Struthio camelus: one gene and its partner. The protein of the gene in region 1 interacts with the protein of each later gene in a biochemical or structural test. Links are inferred from orthologs where the notes say so. Each region holds a gene or a part of one and is shown in the gene's direction. Other genes may lie near its edges. The genes, in order: CCNE1 and ARIH1.

Region 1 (9,701 bases):
ATACCAATTAGTAAACAGGTGCAGGTGTGTGCTGAGATGATTACAACCCTCCCACCACCACCACCGTCATGTGCCTCTATATAAAAGAGATCAGGTACCTTTGTAAAGCATTTTTCTGTGCCCAGGTATAGCTTCCAAAATCTACAATTCCTTTAAAAGCTCTACCTGAGCAAGAGATCTCTATCTTAACTTAGCTAAGCAGACACGTTATGTTCTTCTCTATATACCACAGGTGGTTTTGTGTGTGTGTGTGGTTTTTTTTTTTTTTTTTTTTTAAATCTGCTACTGTAATATAGCCAAGACTTGGAAAGTTAACCGCTATTAAGTCAGATGATAACTATCTCCTTGTGTCTACGATAGAAATGTTGGTTTACTTTATCCCAACTGTTACTAAATCTTAACTAATCTTAACACTAACTACCGCAGAAGTTAAGAAAATCACAGGCTTGGAAAAATCTTATTTTGAAAATCTTCATGTAGAACAGATACTGGCAACTATCCTTTCAAGTACAGAGATAAAACAAGGATCAAGTTGCTCAGAATAGCAACAAAGGCATCTGCAGAGACCACACTGGCAAAAGAAGCAAACCTGAAATCTTGCTTGGTGACAAGCAACATAATACTTGCAACACAATACTGCATTTTAAAAGCTCAAATAAAAATAATTCTTTTGGAAAAAGTGCATCTTTAACAGTCTTTCCTGTCAGCTATTCAGGTAGCTGCAACTAGATAATAATGGTAACTAGTAAAGCGAGTTACATCAGTGAAATGAACAGAAACTTCCACTCTGCTTTTTTCTGGCTACAAAGCAGGCTTCCCTCAGGCTGAGTGGAGTGAATAAAAGTTAAGTAACTTGCACTCTATTTTTGCATCACTACTTTTTTTTTTTTTAAACAAAAGAAAATACAAATGGGAGGGAGCATAACGTCTCATAATTTGCTGCTTATAAAGTCTTGTCTAGGGAATTTCATTGTTCAGCAACACAAGTACAAAGCATAATACGTCTTCAGCCCAGATGACTTCCTATCTGAACACTCACTTGTTTTCATTATTGTGTTCCAATACCACAGATCTCTCATATTTATTATGTTAAACTGCTAACGTGCCAGATAAGTCACTTTTTGCTGAATAAAAATTTACTGTCAGGCGCAATACGTGTTGAGTGAGACCATATACTTCACTTTTGAATGTTAACACTAATTCAAGTAACTCGAGACAATATCCCAACATCTCCTGGTGGTAACAAGATGGTTATACATCTTAAAGACTACGGTAAGCAGCATTTGGAACTGCAGTCAGTGAATATATCCATAGAGAAGAAAAAAAAAAAGCTGTAACTTTCTAGGTCTTTTTCCACAAGAAAAAGAGAGATAATTTAGCAGTTTACTCTTCAGTACTGAAGGGGAGAAACAAACATATTCCCATTGGGAAGCAAAAAATCTAGTTTGGAAGAGCGGTGATCTACATGCAAAAGCCAGGAATCTCTTGAAGTATCCATCATGAAAACCTATGTCTCTCTCAAGTACTGAGGAAAAGCTAGACAACTGAATTCCAGAAAGTGTTAGGCAACCATACTGATACCTATGGAAGCTCTCTTCCTTATCTCTGACCTTTATGCCTTAATAAAAGACTTTTTTTGTTATACAGCTGTAACACTATTATGTATGGACCTATAAGTTCAGCTACTTAACTTCAGAATGATTATTGTGGAATATTTACTGACACTCTCAAGAGCCCTACAATGAAATATACTAAGTCCTGAATTTCTCTAAATCTGCAGAGAAATGACTGTCATGCACCTGTCTACCTGGGAGCTAGTTCTAAAATCTACTAGAGCTCAGTCATTGCAATACAGGAGGAGAAGAGATAGACCAGTTAGAACAGCAGGCTTTATTACAACTGTTGAAAAGACAACAAGGTGTAAAATAGGAACTAAAATTCTGTGGTAATAGCGATTTTAACATTTCTCTTAAATCGCTTTCAGCTTTATGCATTTCAGCAACGAAAGTAACTGCATCTCTACCCTCCCTCAACTTTATGTATTGCTTTACATCGTGCTTTCGCTCTGCTGCTAAGGGTTTCAATGTATAATCAGTATGTAAGGAAAACAGGTAAACAAGCATGGAACGTGTGACAATGACTTTAAGAGAATTATAGGTCACTCATGTAAGCACTTCCTCTAATGCAGGAAGGCAGACCAACTACTACTCGCCACTCTTCTGATGTGGATCAAATCATCCTGTACCTCACACCGATCCTGCAACTGCCAAGACAAAACATACAGTCATAGTACAGAACTACTTCACTTTACACAGAACTACTGTACATATTTTCTTTCAGAAAGTACGGAAAGGAGGAAAACTGACTTACTCCACAGATCTTGCAGTTGAAGATTATTCTAACCGAGTAGACACATGCCTGACCGGCTCACGGGCACTGAAACCTGCCTACGTAAACATGATTCTTCCACACTGTTTATCCTTTCAACAATTTACTTCTCAGGACTCTTTCCTAATTAAGCCTTACTCTGTTCATAACCTGCTTTGTGACTTGTCAAGAATTTTGACTTTGGCCTTCTGTAATTCAGATTAAGTTTAGATCCAATCTTGCTCTGATTGTAAAGTATAATTTAAAGTTATGCCATTAAAAAAAAAAAGATTTCAAGTGGGTTGTTCTTAAAGTTTAGAAGAAAAGAGCAGCTCAGAGCACTGACTACTTGTCCATTTAAGCCATTTTTAAGTCTCGGACATTACGAAACCACGCTACCACGCCAGCAATACTGCAGGCAGGTCAAAGAAAGAGCACACCAATGCACGAAGGCAAGATGCAATGAACTTTAAAACATACCTGACCTTTCAAAGGGACATAAACTCTGTTTAAAAACTGCTGACCTACGAAGGTTACTACACCACCTTAGGTCCAATGGCAATTCAGGCAGTAGTACCTGCCTTTTCTAGCCTCTGGCTGAGAGCCGCCTTTTGGGCCTCCTCTAGATATGCAAAACAGGCAAGCTCTCTGCCAGAGGGCTATGATGGAAGGATTAAAATGGGTAGAAAAGGGTCTAAGCAGCACAAATACAACCATGGGAGAATCCTATTGCCTACAAGTGACTGAGCCATGCCTGTGCACATGCCAATCCTCCATGAGTTCACAAAAAGTGTTGCATAGAGCTAAAAATATAGTGGTTTGTCAGACTGTAAGAAGCCTCCTACAGCCAGATACCTAAAATGCTGGCAACACTAAATGTCGTAGTCAACTTTCCATCTGCTTTTTTTTTTTTTAATTGACTTGTTTCTTAAAAATTGATAGCAATCCTACTTCAGTAACTTGAACTGTGCAGCTTTTTCAATTGCTCTGCATGCACTCAATACATGGCTTAGGTTTCAAAAGCTAAGAAGGCTTACTCTATTAAAACTACATCTTGTATTTTGACCTTCTTCCTAAACTCTGTGTTTAAGATGCTTTCAGTAAGTTCTAGGTATACTTGGACTCAACGTTTTAAATGCTAGCTATAAAGAAGCAGCTTTGCGTAAATACTGCCACAAGAAGAATGAAAGCCAATACTTACAACTCCGGCATCCTTGTAAGTTTCTGCCTCTCGACAAGCTTGATCAACGATCTGGGTCAACGGAAGAGAACTTCTCGGCGTCCCTGCAAGAACAATGCTGCTTACCCCAGTGCAAGGGGAAATCAAAACCAGGCAGGGTAAGTTTTCAGTTAAGATAACTGCAGGGATTAGCATAGTGAAATAGGCAGGAACAGGTAAACTTGCTAAAAGGCTGCTGTGTCTCCTTGTGGCATGCCTTAACGGCATCTCTTTCCTTAACTGAACTTGACCTATCCACTCTCGCGGTTCAGCTCCTAAAACCAAGTTCTCAAACTTGAGGAACATCCACTATAATCTCTCATTGCACCCAATCTGCCTTTAGCTTGTCATTGCTGTACTTATTACTGCTAATCCTTCATCAGTGATGCTCATGCAACATAACCTAGGGCAAGGGCAGACCACTGGCTCTGCAGAACACCTGCACGAAACACGAGCTGACTTTAAGATTGTTTGAACTATATTAAAACTCTAACTTGCAAGGCTGGTAGCGTCTGATCTTCAGCTACTCCTGAAGTAAGAACTTCCTGACAGGAAAGAACGCTCAGCACGGGTTTTGCTTGAAAAAAGCAAAAGTTTTCCTCAAGATAATTCTGAAGTCTTTTCTGACCACGTGGGCTCCTAAAGCCAGGTACCTGGAGCCTGAGATCTGCACTCGGAACAGCTCCTCTGGCAGTCTTTAGCCCGACTTAACCCGACATGGCGCGGTGCAAGCTGGCCGCGGTGCTCGGAAGCTGCTTCGGGGAAGGGGAAGGCGCGGGGCAGGGCGGCTCCGGGCCCGGCCCCGCGGCTGCAGCTGCGGCCGCCCCAACCGCGGGGCGCAGCGCTGCCGGCGGCCGCTACTCCGTCCCCGCGCTCGCTGCCGCCACCCCCCACCCCACCCGCCGCCTCCAAACCTCCTCCCCGCAGCAGCGAGGCGCCCAGCCCGGCCAACACCTCGGCTGCGGGCGCGCAGCCATGCTCCGCGGCTCCCTGGGGCCCGGCCGCGGCCGCGGCCGCCGCCCCCTCCCGCACGCCGGGGCCCGGCCCGGGCCTGCCCCGCGCCGGCGACGAGCGGCAGCCGCGCCCCCGGCTCAGGCGCGGCCCAGAGGGGCGGGGGCGGCGCCGGCGAGGGGAAGCGAGCACCTTACCTGGCAGCGCGGCTGCGTGAACCGCGCCGACCACGGCCGAGCGGGGCCGCCCGAAGAGCCGCCGCAGCGCCATGGCCGGCGGGGCAGGAGGGCACCGTCATGGCGGCGGTGCTGCCCCGCCCCGCCCCGCCCCGCCCCTCGCTGACCGCGCCGGGCCCTCGCCGCCGCCTGTCGACGCGCCGCGGGCAGCTCCCGCCGCCGCTTCCGCGTCGGGCCCGCCGGCTCCTCCCCCCGGCGCGGCCCCGCCCCGCCCCGCCCGCCCGGCCCGACCCGGCCCGGCCGCGCGGGTGCCCGCGCCCTGCGGCGCCCTGCGCCGCTTGGCCCCGGCGCCCCGCCGCGCCGCGCCGCGCCGCGCCGCGCCCCCCCGCAGACCCCGCCCCGGCCGGGCCGGCGCTGGGCGCGGGGCCACGTGTGCGGCCCGGCGGGCGGGCGGGGAGGCGGCCCCGCGCCGCGCGTTTAAATGTCCCGCTCGGCGCGGGCCGCGCTGTGCGCAGGGACGGGAGCGGCCGCGCCGTGAGGCAGGAGGCGCCCAGCGGAGCCCGCGCTCCCGCCCTGCCCTGCACCCCGCCGCTGCCGCCGGGCGGGCAGCGCTCGCTCCCTCCCTCCCTCGCCCGCCGCCCTCTCGCCCGGGAAGGCGCCGGCGGGTCGGCAGCGCGGGCCGCTGCGGGCGGGACAGGGCAGGGCAGGGGGCGGCGGGGCCGGGGCTGCGGCCGGCGGTGCCCGGCCCTTGCCCGCGCCGCGCGCCCGCGGCCCTTTGTGGCGGCGGCGGCGGCCTGCTCCGCCCGCCCGCCCTCAGCGGCCGCCCTCGCCCGCGCAGGGCCGCAGCTCGCCCCGGCCCAGGCCGGCACCATGCGCCGCGAGAGGTGAGTCCCGCGGGCGGCCGCGCCGCCGCCGCCTAGGCCCGGGCCTCCGCGGGGGCCCCCGCCCCGGGGTGCCGCTGCCTCCATTTCTCCTCCTCTCTCGGCAGTGACCACGGCGAGGAGAAGGCGCCCGCCAAGGGCGAAGGGGGCGCCGAGGGGGCCGTGCGCGCCCGAAAGAGGAAAGCCGATGTGGCCACGGTGAGTGCGAACCCAGCCGGCAAAATGGCTCGGGCCGGCTGCGGCCCCGCTGCCCGTCTCTGCGCCGTGGCTGCCCCGAGGTCGGGCCTGCAGCCCCTCGTCCCGCTCTGCGCGGCCCCCGCCGCCCGTGGGCAGGCGGTGGTCTGCCCACCGCCCGCCCCGGTGGGCCCGACGCCCGCCGCTGTCGCGAGCGGCACGTTTCCCCCTGCTCCGTCGCTGTAATTTGAAATTATCTCTCCCTTTCTGTAGTTCTTGCAGGATCCGGATGAAGAAATTGCCCAAATGGAAATGAACAGAAAAAAGCAGTATGAAAACCAGGTAACTGCTTTGACCTCAGGTCATGGTAGCATATAACCACATGTAACTTTACTATTATTTTACAGCGCTTCGTTACTCTTGGGAACACGGTAAAGCTGCCACGTGCTGTACAGCAGTGGTTGAGGGGGCTATCAGCCATGGATGATGAAAAGCACAAAACTGCTCAGTTCATACAGCTTGCTTTGGAGTCTTTGCAAGAGATGAGGGAGGCCTGCATTGGTCTAAAATGTTAATACTTCAGCATTTCCAACTTTCCTGGGATTGTAAGGGTTCAACTTACAGAGGCCTTAATATGCACTTAATTCTACATGGGGAGACCCTGTACTGACTCCTCTAGAGACCTCTAAGAGGACAGTGATGTGCTTACATGTGTACCTTGCAGGCCAAAGCATGAGACACTTAAGCATATGAACAGAATCATCTCTTGAGATGGAGCTTTTTGCGTCCATGTCTATACTTAGGCTGGGAGAGGGGAAAGATCGTTCATTCTTTTCACCTTCTGCTCCATTCCTGCTCAAAAATATCGTCGTCAGACTGCCAGAAAACAAGGAGTTACTGATTAGAGCTTAGAAGTTTATAATATTAGATGCTAATGTCGTGGTGAAGTGTTAGGCTCGGTCCCTCTAGAGCAAAAAGGGATAACTTCTATAAAACCACTTAGGCTGTGGAAATTGGGCCAGTAAGGGGAGGCTGGTGATGACCATCACCAGTTTCCTAAATAGGATACTCTGAATGATCTGAGGTAGGAAGTCAAAACTAACTGTCACCTTAGGGTCCTCTTCATAGTCTTCAGACATGACATGCACGATGCTTTCAAACATTGAGATGCCTGCTCTAAATAAAACAGCAAGATTAGCCTACTTTCTGAAATGGGTTTATCCCCTGTCTTAGGGCATGAAGAAAGACTGCGCACTTGCATGTACACATGCACGCTCTGTCACTAGGACTTCAGCCAGTTAATGCGCATGCGGGATGATACTCACACTGCAAAAGTCATGATCAGGGAGTTCAGGCAGCGCTCATTTGGTACGCAAGGCTATGCATAATGTGGCACATCTAACCAGAAGTGGCAGCTGGAAGTTCTAAGTCTAAAGTGCTACCATAACAGATGGGCATCATTGTTTGGAATGGCCTCTGCTTGTTGCAACTGCGTATGCTAGTTATCAGTCAACATATTAAGCAGGGCTCAAATGGTGAGCATTTAATGAGAGGATCTCTTTCCCTTCTGTCTTTCTTTTGTGCATATTAAACTAATTTCTCACTTCTGACAAGGAAGAGCTGCCTGTCCTTCACCACAGTTCCCTTCTTCACCAAAGGTTTCATTCTGTGTGAGCTATGCAATGGCTTTTTGTGTGCAGTTATTGCGTAATAATAAGTATTGTTTAAAAAATCCTACCATGGACCCAATTTTGCCCTTCTTCAGAAAGATAATGGAAAGAAACTTGAAATATGTTTTACATACAGTGACCTTCAGCACTGAAAGTAGGTAAAGACTTCCAATTCTGTATTCCTGTTTTGTCTTACTAGCTTAGCAGCCATTAAATGTGACTTTGTGAATGATGGGCGTATTAAAACTTAGATAATCTAGGCAGTAGGCATTTCAAAATGCAGATTTAGGAATTTTTCAAGTTAAGCTTAGGATACTGGTGGGAATTAGGCCCTTGAGTTTGGTAAACCATAAATAAAATGGGTACCTGTGTATCAGTCTGTACATGGAGAAGATTTTTTGTCATAACAAAGTAGCCAGATTGTTACAGATCTGTTTAAAAAAAGCTAACATTTGGCTGCACAGCAGCAGCTCTTCAGTCTATGGTGTGACACAAGCTATTCTCTGATATAAATTGCCATGGGCCACTAATGAGAATATGTTTATGGTTCCAGCAGCAGTATAGCAAGCTTGTATGATAGCCAGTGAGATGGTTATGCTGTTGTGGCATGCTAATTCTAAACTGCAAGTAGCTATAAATCCAGTACAGCCTATACCACGTGACTTCTACATTAAATAAATTGTTTACTGATGCTAGTTTATACACGAGGCAAAAGACTATTGTCGCATCCCACTTTATAGCATCTTCATATTCAATTCATTAGTTTGTTTCTGTTGAACATAAGGCATGAGTTCTTAATTAGGATGCCGTTACCCTTTATGTGATGAAAGGGTGGCTATATCATCAGGTTTGTGACGGCGGAATATTGCATAAATTCTGTATTTGATTTTGGAGAACTGGTACTGCTGTAATTCTGCTAGTAATTCTCATATTAATTCTGGCTGCTTTCTGTGGACTGATACGCTTCCAAGGCTCAATGTAAAACAAAATTCATCTAACTAGATTATTGTAACCCATGTAATCTTGATACAAAGTACGTGGCCTCCAAATCTAGAGCAGAGAATTTTAACTCAAAGTGGTACCACTTTGAGTTTCAACTAATCCACATTTTCAGATTTAAAAAAAAGCTTTCAGGAAATAATTGTTGTTAATTTCTCATGAGACACTTTTCCAGAACAGACTTACAATTCTCAAAATGTTCCACCTAGGCGTTTTAAAAAATATCCTCTGAAAAGATTCTTTAACTAGTCTAGGTTATGTTTGAAAGACCTAATCCGAAAAAATGGAAAATTTTGAAGCAAACGAACAATGTGAGCTGTATCAAAGTTGAGACTGACTTTACCCTAATGTGATGAAGTACAATATTCAAATTATTTTAGAGATTAAAAATACCGTAAGGTCCTATGCTGTTCAGAAAGAACTGAAGCAAGCTAATTGTGTGAGTTGCTCTTCTGTTTCCTACTTTGTCATCAGAAAGGGGTTCTAGTGCCCTATACTTCAACCTAGTGCCTCCTGTGAGTGAAAAATGGCTAGGATTACTTCTGATCGGTAAACTATGAAGGCTGTAGTGTGATGTCTGTCTGTTCTGAGATGCTGCTTTTTAGAGTGAGATGAATAGACCTGTTCCCCCTCCTGCTTCTTTGACTTCAGGTTTCCATGCTGAAAATCCTCCTTCCCCGTGCCTCTCTGGGCTCCTGCATCTGCAGAAGTTTCTTCTGGTGGCTCTCAGCTTGTGCCACGATGCGCTGGTGTCTCAGTAGCTAGTGTTCCTGGTTGTAGCTGCTTTGTTGAAGGCTCTAGCTGAAAAGAATAACTTGAATGGCCAAAACCTGCTTAATTTTATATCTGGCTTTATGCTTGAAGGGTGTCCAAAAGATCCATTTAAACAAATATTTGATACGTTTGTGAATGAAGGCATGATGTAGAACAACTGTTGAGGCATAATAATAATAATAAAATCTCTGAACTCCTGGATTTTTTTGTTTGGAGCGAAGGTGCTTGACTGTTCCCGTGGACTGTTTGATCACCTACCTCTTGCTCTTCCTAGTGTTTCTTCTCCTTATGAGCCTTTGTGTGTCCTCATTTTACTTTTTCCTATATATGTATCTGGAATATAACTGTAGGTGTCACTGAGCTTTCTTGCTGGGGTCCCATTTGCCTCTGGGGTAGGCCCAGGGCCATAGGATTTCCTCCAGTAGGCTGCACAGATTTTCTGTTGCATTTGTCACCTTTTGGCTGCAGGAGAGACCGCAGCTCCCTGCTT
Region 2 (9,570 bases), on another chromosome or scaffold:
CTGCATTTTCCACCTTGTCCACTGCATGTCACGCTATATGCTGCCGTTGAGTGGCTTAGCAGATGCATGTGGTAAATGAATTTCTCAGCACAGATGGAGTTCAGCAGAAGGGACCTCTTCAGATGAGAGAGCACATGTAAGGGGAGCGAGGCCTAGGAGATGCAGTGCTAGCAGACAGGAGCATATCTCAGCTCTGGGCATGTTTGAGGAGTGGTACTTTAACAAGTATGAACTTAAAAATGGAGTTTAAGGCAACAAGTTTGAGGTGAGATGTGTTAATCAGTCTGCAGGATTTGGGTTCCTGACTGCAGAAATGATGCCGAGTTCAGCCCGGAGATATTTGCACTATTGGTATTATTTGCAAAGCTTTTTCCCTCTGGACTATGTGCAGCTTGCACAGCTTTTGGGTGGCTGAAAAAACTGCAGTGATCTGAGGGGCATCTCAACTCAGGCTTGCAGCTGAGGTAGTTAATGGGTGTGCTGGCAGCCGAATCAAACCCAAGGGAGGGCATCAGAAGCTGGGCACAGAGAAATCTCCTGGCTTTCTTTTTCCCAAGCTCCACATGTAGGGGAGCTCCACATTTATTGGGCGATAGAGAAGGGCTCTTTCCAGAGAGCCGTCTGCCCAACCCAGCTGGCCCAGGAGCGATGGAGCAGGAGGGAGGCCACAGTGCAAGTGGGTGAGATACGGGCTTTGCTCCAGGGCACTTCTGTGGCTTTTTGGTAGAGTCAAGGGGTGCTCAGGCTGGATGGGAGCTGGGAGTGCTTGTGTCGGTGCTGGATGGAGATCATTTTAAACATAGGGCCCTGCCGGGCGCTCGCAGGCAAGAGGGAGGCTGCTGTGACTTGTTGTGGAGGCTGAATACACGTGGCTGCTGTCCCTGCTGCCTCTTAATCATGTCTGTGGGTCTAAGCGATCAGCTGAACCGGAATCAATCAAGAGCCTGTGCACGTGTGCTGAAAAATTCCTCAGTCTAGAAATGAAGTGAGTGTGCAGACAGACCCTGCTCCCGTAAATCCCTTAAGCGTGTGCTTAACTTTACGGAGGAAGGTGATTACAATGCAATATTTTATTCTTGTCAGCTTCAGTGCTAACAGTTACTAGAATCACTTGTGCAATTAACCTTTTGCAAGAATAAAATGAAAAAGCACCAGGTGCCTATGGAGTTCTAAATCATTTTTCAGATTGGACAGAACAGCAGTTTTCAACTTTCTTCTGCAGCTGGAGTCCTAAAATTTCCAGAGGCAGTGCAGGTATCCTCGTAACACATTGAAGGCAGCAGCCCTGCTTTCCTCAGGTACTTTTCCCTGCGAGGCTGCGGGCACCTGGGGCTCCACAGGCTTCAGGGTGACAACCACTAGTTTGGAAACTTTATAAGGAAAGGAAAACCAAGAATAATTAGAGCAATGATTTTTTCCAAGGGGCATAGCTAAAATTTCATATCAAGGAATATTTTTGAGAAGTGTGGATTATTGTTTTAGCTGTGCTCTTTAAAAGCAAACTAGTCTTGTCATTAAGTAAGACTAACACTCGGAGTTCAGAGGGATAACCACGAGCAAAGTGGCGATAATATGTCTTGCAGGGGAGAAGTCAGCTCTTCTAGCGTAAAGATAAGGCTGGGACTGCAGGAGGAGAATCATATTTCTGTGCCTGTGGGATGGCATTCTTTGCTGCACAGAGAAGATCCCATCACTCCTTATAAACGTTTACTAACGGGATTATATGAGAAAGGGAAACAGTTGGGTTTGAAAGGTAGCAGTTGTCTAACATCTCCCCTGTGTTGGTTGAGGAGGAAGAGAACTAGAGCGCGCTTACTGCGGTTGTATCGGGGGCTGCCTTGACTGCTGGTTCTCGCAAAGGGACGGTGAAATTTTGTTAATGCCTGGAGATTTGTTGGCACATTGTGAGCCTGAACTCAACCTGGTTTCCTTGCTATATACATGACCAAGAGAGTATAAATGTATTTCTAAATGACTGTGCTTTGTGCTACTGAATGCGCTGTAGTGAGATTACCCTGCACATTGAGGTGGGAACGTGCTACGCCAGAAGGAGCTGCAGGCGTGGTTCTTCCCCCACGCTGTTCAGAAGGGCTGTGCACGGTGATCGTGTCCATTTGGTGTCTAATATCTCATCTCACAAGAGATGCAAAGCTAGTTATCCCACTGTGAGTGTCCAAGGGAGGCAGATACGTCAGAAGAGGTGTGGGGAGAGAAGACAGCCCTGAGAACGGTGAGCGTCTGGGATAGGGAATCCAGACACTGCTCTCCAGAGCCTGGAGGGAAGCTGTGCACCCTCATCACTGATCAGGGCTTGGGGGGCTCACACCAGCCTTCAGCTTACGTTACTGTAGCCAGTATCTGGGCCCTGAAGAGCTGCAGATAGTCCAAGGCGCACGAGAGGACCGTGCTTTGGGAAAGGCTGGACTCGTGGGCGCTGTGCAGCATCGGCAGGGGCCAGGAGAGGGCACCGGGGAGGCGTTCACAGGCCCCGGGCAGCCTGCCCCGCGCCAGGCGGTGTCAGGGGCCTGCTGCAGGTCTACCCCTGCCCAAATCCGCCACCCTCAGCGCTGCCCTTCTACCTAGGTGGCCCCAGGAGGAAAAAGCAGGTTAGCAAAGACAGAGGTAGTCTTGTCCCAGAGAGGAAAGTCATCTCCAGCAAAGGGTTGGACCCAGTTTTGTGGGTCAGCAAAAACATAGCCTATGGGAGCCAGCAAAGCTCTGATAAAACAAGAGCCTGATGTCCAGGCAAAACCTCTCTGCAAGATTTCTCAGCTCCCTGGAGTCCGGCAGACTCTGCGGCAGATACGTTGCCGTCCGCTGGCTCACGCCTGCTCTCCTCTTGGCCAGAACCCACGTCACGAGCTGGGCCTTCAGTGCAGAGCCCCTGGGGGTGACACCCACCGCTGGGACAGCGCGCCTCTCCGTGACCTCTCCTGCTCCAGGACACCCAGCTGTGCTGGGCAGCAGGCGATGGCCAGGCTGGGCAGCTTGTCTGGCACGGAGGCTCCAGGAGCAGGAGGGAGGCTCCAGCGCGGGCCCTGCAGCATCAGAGGAGGTACAGGCGCCGCGAGGAGGACGTGTGACAGCCAGCTGAGCCACAAACACTTGACATGTGAGATGGGACAAGCCTGGCAAACGTCCAGCTGGTAAGTTCAGAGCTGAACAAAGCCAGTGCTATTTATATTTATGTAGGGCAGGATGATTAATGCCCAGGCCTTTGCCATCCCCAAAAAGTAATTAGGAAACTGGCTTTATTTACCAGCTGGCTTGGCATGAGGCAATATATGTGGCTGGCCCACAGGCCTCCCCAGCTCAGCCTGAGCCTCCCAGCCCCTCTGGGACGGCACTCCTGACCCTGCTCCCGCTGCTGCTCCCAACCTTCTCGGGGCAGGCCAGAGCTTGGGGACAGCAGGCACCAGCTGCCCCGCTGCAAGCTGTATGTATGGAGACAGAGGCAGGGCCCCTTGCAAGGAGGGTCTCGGGCTGCAGGCGTTACCCCTCCTGCCTCCTAGGACCCACTGCGGTCAGAGCCGGTGGCTGCTGGGGCACACTGCCAAGCTCTCGTCTTTCCCTGGGGAAGAGGAGTGTTTGCAGGGGCTCGCATGACAACTGCTTGGGGAGGACACGGGGCAGTCGTGACTGCGGCAAATTCACTTGAAGCTGCTGTGATGCCAAGAAACACCCAGGACTGTTCTTCAGAGCTGCTTGTGTATCTCAAGATGCAGGCTGGTAGGCAGTGAGGTTTCTAGAGGCACCTACCCAGGAAGTCGGACACCTAATCTGCTTGGATCCACAAGGGCACCTACCTGTGTCACTCTGAACTTAAACCCCTGGCACAGCGGCCATCATTACGCTTTATAGACACCACCAGAAAATAAACACCCCTCTAGCTTTTTGGAGGTGCCTTCTAATTTTCTGCAAGTGCCGCTGCCTGTTTCACAAGGTCTTTGTTATTTGTGCTGCGTTAGTACTGAGGAAGCAGGAGCTGGGAGCAGGATCCCGCTGCGCAAACACAAAGCACCGCGGTGACTCCTGCCCAAAGAACTGATAAAACTCGCCCCACCTGCGCTGCATACCGTGAGGCTGAGTCTCCCTTGCCCTCCAGGCGCGAAGCCATTTTCATCCAGGCAAAGCAGGTGAAGCGCGTGTTACCACATCACAACAGCCCCACTTCACCCGGCTAGAAATGACTCTGCAGGGCACGAGGAAGCAGAGGTGGAGAAGGTGGCCCCGGAGCCCTCCCGGGGCTGTGCCGCCTGCTCACATCCCTCCACAGTGAATCACAGCAGAGGATGTGCTATCAGCTGGCTCCCCTCTGGGCCAGCCTGCAGCCGGTTACCAAGCCAACCGGAGTCCCCGGTGCCCCCCGCACGGCGGCAGGCAATAAGCCCAGCTAGCCTCGCCTGCACCTCAGCCAGGCCGAGCAGCGAGGAAAGCTCAACGGCGGGGAGCAGGCTGAGCGGCCCGGCAGGGACGGGCCCACCAGGACGCAGCGCTGGCCCTAGGCGCCCGGCTCAGCCCCAGCCGCTCGCGCAAGAGCCAGGCCTGCTTTTGCAGGGCCGCGAGGCCCGCTCTGCCCCCCTCCTAAACGCCGAATAAGCGACGACGCGGCCTCTTCGCACAGCGCTTACGCTGCGAGGAGCTTCCCCGGGGCTGCGCGGCCCAGCGAGGAGCGGGGGCCCAGCCCGACGGAGCCGCCGAGACCCGGCCGCGCTTATCCCCGCTGCCCCCAAGCTGAAGCAGGGAGGTGCCGCCCGGCGCGGCCGGGGTCACGCGAGGCCGCCTGTTCTGCAACCGGGGAAAGGCGGCCGGCCGGCCGGCGGCACACCGGGCGCCGGGGCGGGGGAGGGCCGCACGCAGCATGGCGCACACAATGCCCGCGCCATCCCCAACATGGCCGCTGCCCGCCTCCCCCCCCCACTCCGCGCCACACTCAAGATGGAGTCGGGTCGGGGGGGGGAGTGGCGCGCACTCCGGATGGCCCTCCCCGGCGTCGGCGCCTGAGGGGAGATGGCGGCGGCGGCGGCGCAGGCGCGGCACGTCACGCCGCGGCGCGTGACGCGCCGCGGCGTGACGTGCCGTGCGTGCGCGGCGCGCGGTGACGGAGCGGGTCCGCCGCGTCCCTTTGTTGGCTCGGCGGCGGCGGGCGCTGCGGGGCGGCGGGCAGCGAGCGGCCGCGCCGGGCCGGGCCGGGCCGGGCCGCGCCGGGGCAGCGCGGGGGCGGGCGGGCGGGCAGGCGCCGGCGGGGGGGCGGGAGCCGCCGCGCCGCCGCCGCCGCCACCACCACCACCGCCTCGCCATGGACTCGGACGAGGGCTACAACTACGAGTTCGACGAGGACGAGGAGTGCAGCGAGGACAGCGGCGCCGAGGAGGACGAGGAGGACGAGGAGGAGGACGAGCCCGACGACGACAACCTGGACCTGGGCGAGGTGGACCTGGTGGAGCCCGGGCTGCGCGTGGGCGGCGAGCGCGACGGGCTGCTGGGCGGCGAGACGGGCGGGCTGGGCCCCGGCGGCGGCGGCGGCGGCGGGCTGGGCGGCGGGCCGGGCCCCGGCGGCGGCGGCGGCGGCGGGCCCGAGCAGGAGGAGGACTACCGCTACGAGGTGCTGACGGCCGAGCAGATCCTGCAGCACATGGTGGAGTGCATCCGCGAGGTCAACGAGGTCATCCAGGTGCGGCACCGGGAACCGCGAAGCCGGCGGAGGGGAGGGGAGGGGAGGGGAGGGGGGCGGCCCGGTCGGGCCCGCGGCTCCGGGGCCCTTCGGCGGGGGGCGGCTCGGGGCTGCCCCGCTCCCCGGCCGCGGCGCCGCCGCCTGGCCCTCTCCTGCCTGCCTGCCTGCCCGCCGCCCTACAACCGCGGCGCCTCCCGACGGGGCCCGGCCGCGCCGCCGCTCTTTCCGGCGGCGACCCGCAGGGATGCAGAGATCCCCTCGGAAAGCGCAAACTTTCCTTGCCGTTTTTAAGCGGGCCGTTGTGAAAACGGAGCTGCCGAGCTGAGCGCAGGATAACGCTGCCTTCAAACGGCCCTGCTCCGGTCTTACGTGCTGGCCCTCCTGCTTTTGGGAAAACGTTCAAGCCAGCCCAGCCGTCTAACATCCCTTCCTGAATGTCTGTGGCTAGGTTTTGTCCCAGCTTGCCCGAAGTTTCTGAGGCCGTTCGCTGCTTCTACAGGTGACCCGCATGCATGGGTTTTCTTTTGTTCCAGTTTAGTCAGTATTAAGAGTCACAGCTAATAAGTGAAAGTGCTTCTGCTCTTCCAGTAGGCCCACAGAGGTAGCGTGGGGAGAGCTACAGATTGTAACATCTTGGGAGGACGCAATGCCCAGAAATCAGTTGTTTGCTAGTTGCGGGTACTCTTTTGCCTAAGATTGTGCGCTCTAGAGTGGTTGTATTCGCAGCTTTAAAATGTTGCTTCACATGCTTGATGCAAACAACTGCCTAAACGTTCATCTAGTAAATTAGTAAACAACACTTCAGAAGTCGAAATAAAATTAATAACCTTAATAATAGTACCATACACGTTAGGCTGAATAAAGGAGTCTAAACTAACTTTCTCATTACCAGAGAGCGCAGCTCAAGAGGGTCTCTTCGTTAAATACGGATATTTCTTTGTCGCTAGTCATTGAGCCTAATATAGCGGAGCAAATGGCAAGTAGACATGCAAATGGGAAGTTAGACATGCAAATGTTTCATAACCTAAAGTATTTACTCTTTGAAATAGTGGTTAAAATGGTAAGTATGCCTTTAATGACTGAGGCTGTGAAAATCGCATCCCTTACCGATTGTATCGAGCAGATTCTACCGTTTGTCTTATCTCTCTGTAAGCAAACTGGTAGAAATGTCCCTGCCATTGAGGAGTAGTGAATGTTCCTGCTTGTGGTTTTTTCCAGTCTTGGCCCACACGGTGAATTCGCCTACCTGTTCTTTGTGAAGTAATTTCGTAGCTGAGGTCCTGGTTTCTTGTCCACGTGTTTTTCTTCTCTTACACTGCCCTCGAGCCGTGCAACTTGTGCGCTTGAGAGCAGCAGAAACAGTGGACAAAGGCCAATAAAGGTAGAGGACTCTGCTCCCTTTCTTGTACCTGGGGTAACTGCAGAAGGCCTGACCCTGTGATGGGGATCCCGATTTCATTGGGATCCGCAGGAGAATTGCAGACTGCCTACGCACAACAGCCAGCAGTGGATGTTAGTTACACCTTAGTTATTAGCAGTAGATTTGCAGTTATTACTCCTAGTTTAAGAGAGAAGAGTACAGAAAACCAGTTTATGTTGAGAGTAGTAATGAATAAGCTCACGAGCTAAAATCAGCTTAAGTAGTAGAATATGTCAGAAGAAGGTAGAAAAACATTCAGTTGTCTTGAATTGCTTTTAAAGGCCAGCTTACTGCTATTAGTTTTCTAGTCTGTTCAGAGGTGAGTGAGCTTAATTCAGCTGATGCTTCAGTATTTGCTCATCCTCACTTCTGTTGCTTGTGGTGAAAGCTTCCAGGGCTCTGTACTGTTTATTTCCTGCTTTGGCGCCCAACCAGGATTGCTGCTGCCACTTTTCTGGTTCGCTAAACCTTTTCTGGAGTCGCATTGGCTCAGGATCCTGCTGCAGATCCTTGGTTGCAGGCCTGTGATTCACTTGTTCCAGCCTAGTCCTAAAGGGTTTTGGTCTCTGTGTATCGAAATTCAGATCTTGGTGTCAAATGATAATGGTTGCAGTCCCAGTTTATAGTGCTTGATAACTTAGTGAAGTTGCGATGCAGAAGTGCTCTATACCTGAAAAGGTTGGCTGCAAGTCTTCTGCCCTCTCTCTCATCAGCGAAGGCACCAATTTCTGATCTGAAATAAGTATAAATATGATTTTGTTTTTCAAGCTAATCATCTTTGCACTTGCAATGAAAGGAAAAGGTATCAGTAAACAACAGAACATCTGCGTGGAGATGAGACGTGGCTGATATAACTCCTGTACGTAGGGAGTTGGGCCTTAGTCTATATTAAAAGACTGTGTTTGAATAGCAGTTTATTAGCTGATAGCGTTAGCTGAAGAGAGCGAATTAAATTTACTTTCCCATCCTTTTAGTCGTTTCCAAATACCAACTGTGTATGCATGTATATGAAAAACCCCTTAAGACAGGGATTTAATCTGATGAAGATCTTGCTGAAATAGTAGCTATCTTGTGACAGATTTGTTGGCCGCTGCGTGTATAATTTGTGCTGGTAGAGTGTAATGTGCTCTTGAAGATGACTGCTTAGTACTGCTGCTTTTTGGTCACTCGGCCTTCTAAGACCACTAAACTTACAGTGAACTAAGGAGGTTTCAGGATGGCTCAAACGTTCAGAATATTTTGCGTTCAGTGTCTCTGCGGACTTGCCTGAGCGTAAGCAGGATTTCAGGTGCTTAATGATGATTTTGCAGACTAGTTAGCATTTATGCTGATAATCTGATTTGACTCTGCGCCACACAACAAGAATTCCCCTTCTCCCCCCCAAAAGCAAAAATAAGCCCCTTAACCTTGTGCTGATGACTGGCTGAGACTTTTAAACCCAACCTTAGATCAGAGTGTCCCTTCCATTATGTCACTCTAGTTTCGTGGCATAGAGATTTATTCGGCAGGTTATTTCGAATTTTAGCCGTCAAAGTGAACAGGCAGATCTCTTGCATGTTTTTCTTGGAGAATCACTTGCAGAACAGCTGTGAAAATGTAGACGTAGAGGTAGATGTCTGAGAGGTGGCATTAAACAAAAGATTTTCTTATTTGAAAGGTATTTTCCCACAGTACTTCACTGTACTCTTCCTCTCGGAGCTTCAGGAAGAAGGATTGTCCGAATAAGTTTTTACCTGCCCTCCCCCTTTATAGCAGATTACTATTTATATCTTTGCTCCAGATTTCTGAAAATAAACTTGAAAATGTTTAGAATAGCATGTTTATTCCTACTCTGAATAGAGCACCTGATGATCTGTGTCCCTGGACTTGCTCAGTTCAATTTTCTCCTTGCTTTGTTGCCAGTTTGTGTGATTGCAGTATTTCTGGATTGGGTTTGTTTCCCCTTTTTGGTCACCTTTTCTGGAGCGTCTGAGTGATATCATTGTGATGTCACTGACCATATTTGTTCTGTCTGGACTTTGTAACTGGTAAAGGTGCCGAAAACATCGGGATGCATGTCAGGTTGATATGGCAAAAATTGCTCAAGACCCATGTTTAAAACAAAAACACAGAAAGGGGAGTAGAGCAGAATTGTCTTTTTTTTTTTCCACCCTCCAGCAGGAAGCAGGTCCCTGGAAGTTGCTGGGTGTCCTGACTGGCCCACACTAGATGCTTGGGAGGATGTCAGACTTCAAATGTGTTTCCTTTGGAAGGAGCTGGAGTCACCAGATCCAACAGAACTTTGTCTAGTGCAAAAAAACCCCTTTTCTGTTAACCACAGGCTTTAAAATAAGGTTCTTAAGGGCAGAACAGAGAGTGTGCAGTATCTGAACGTTTGTACTGAATATTTGTTTCCTCGTGTAGGTGATAAATCTGGATGACTTCTGTAAAAGTAAGATCAGGACCTTACTGGATAAAAACTTTGATGTTAAAGTAA

What was found.
Region 2: of the proteins of CCNE1 (region 1) and ARIH1, one has a biochemical effect on the other in vitro, tested with the Homo sapiens proteins (3 studies listed by BioGRID). The link is inferred for Struthio camelus from reciprocal best matches to the Homo sapiens genes CCNE1 and ARIH1.

The regions. Positions count from the first base shown.
Region 1 is NC_090951.1:14,455,797-14,465,497, reverse strand, and holds the start of CCNE1 (G1/S-specific cyclin-E1), read left to right. Parts: upstream 1-5,478; 5' UTR 5,479-5,583; coding exon 5,584-5,597; intron 5,598-5,701; coding exon 5,702-5,792; intron 5,793-6,041; coding exon 6,042-6,110; intron 6,111-9,701. Other genes in the region: C10H19orf12 (protein C19orf12 homolog), read right to left, coding at 3,569-3,651, 4,735-4,807. UniProt on the Homo sapiens protein: Essential for the control of the cell cycle at the G1/S (start) transition.
Region 2 is NC_090953.1:24,861,985-24,871,554, reverse strand, and holds the start of ARIH1 (E3 ubiquitin-protein ligase ARIH1), read left to right. Parts: upstream 1-5,239; 5' UTR 5,240-5,299; coding exon 5,300-5,674; intron 5,675-9,570. UniProt on the Homo sapiens protein: E3 ubiquitin-protein ligase, which catalyzes ubiquitination of target proteins together with ubiquitin-conjugating enzyme E2 UBE2L3.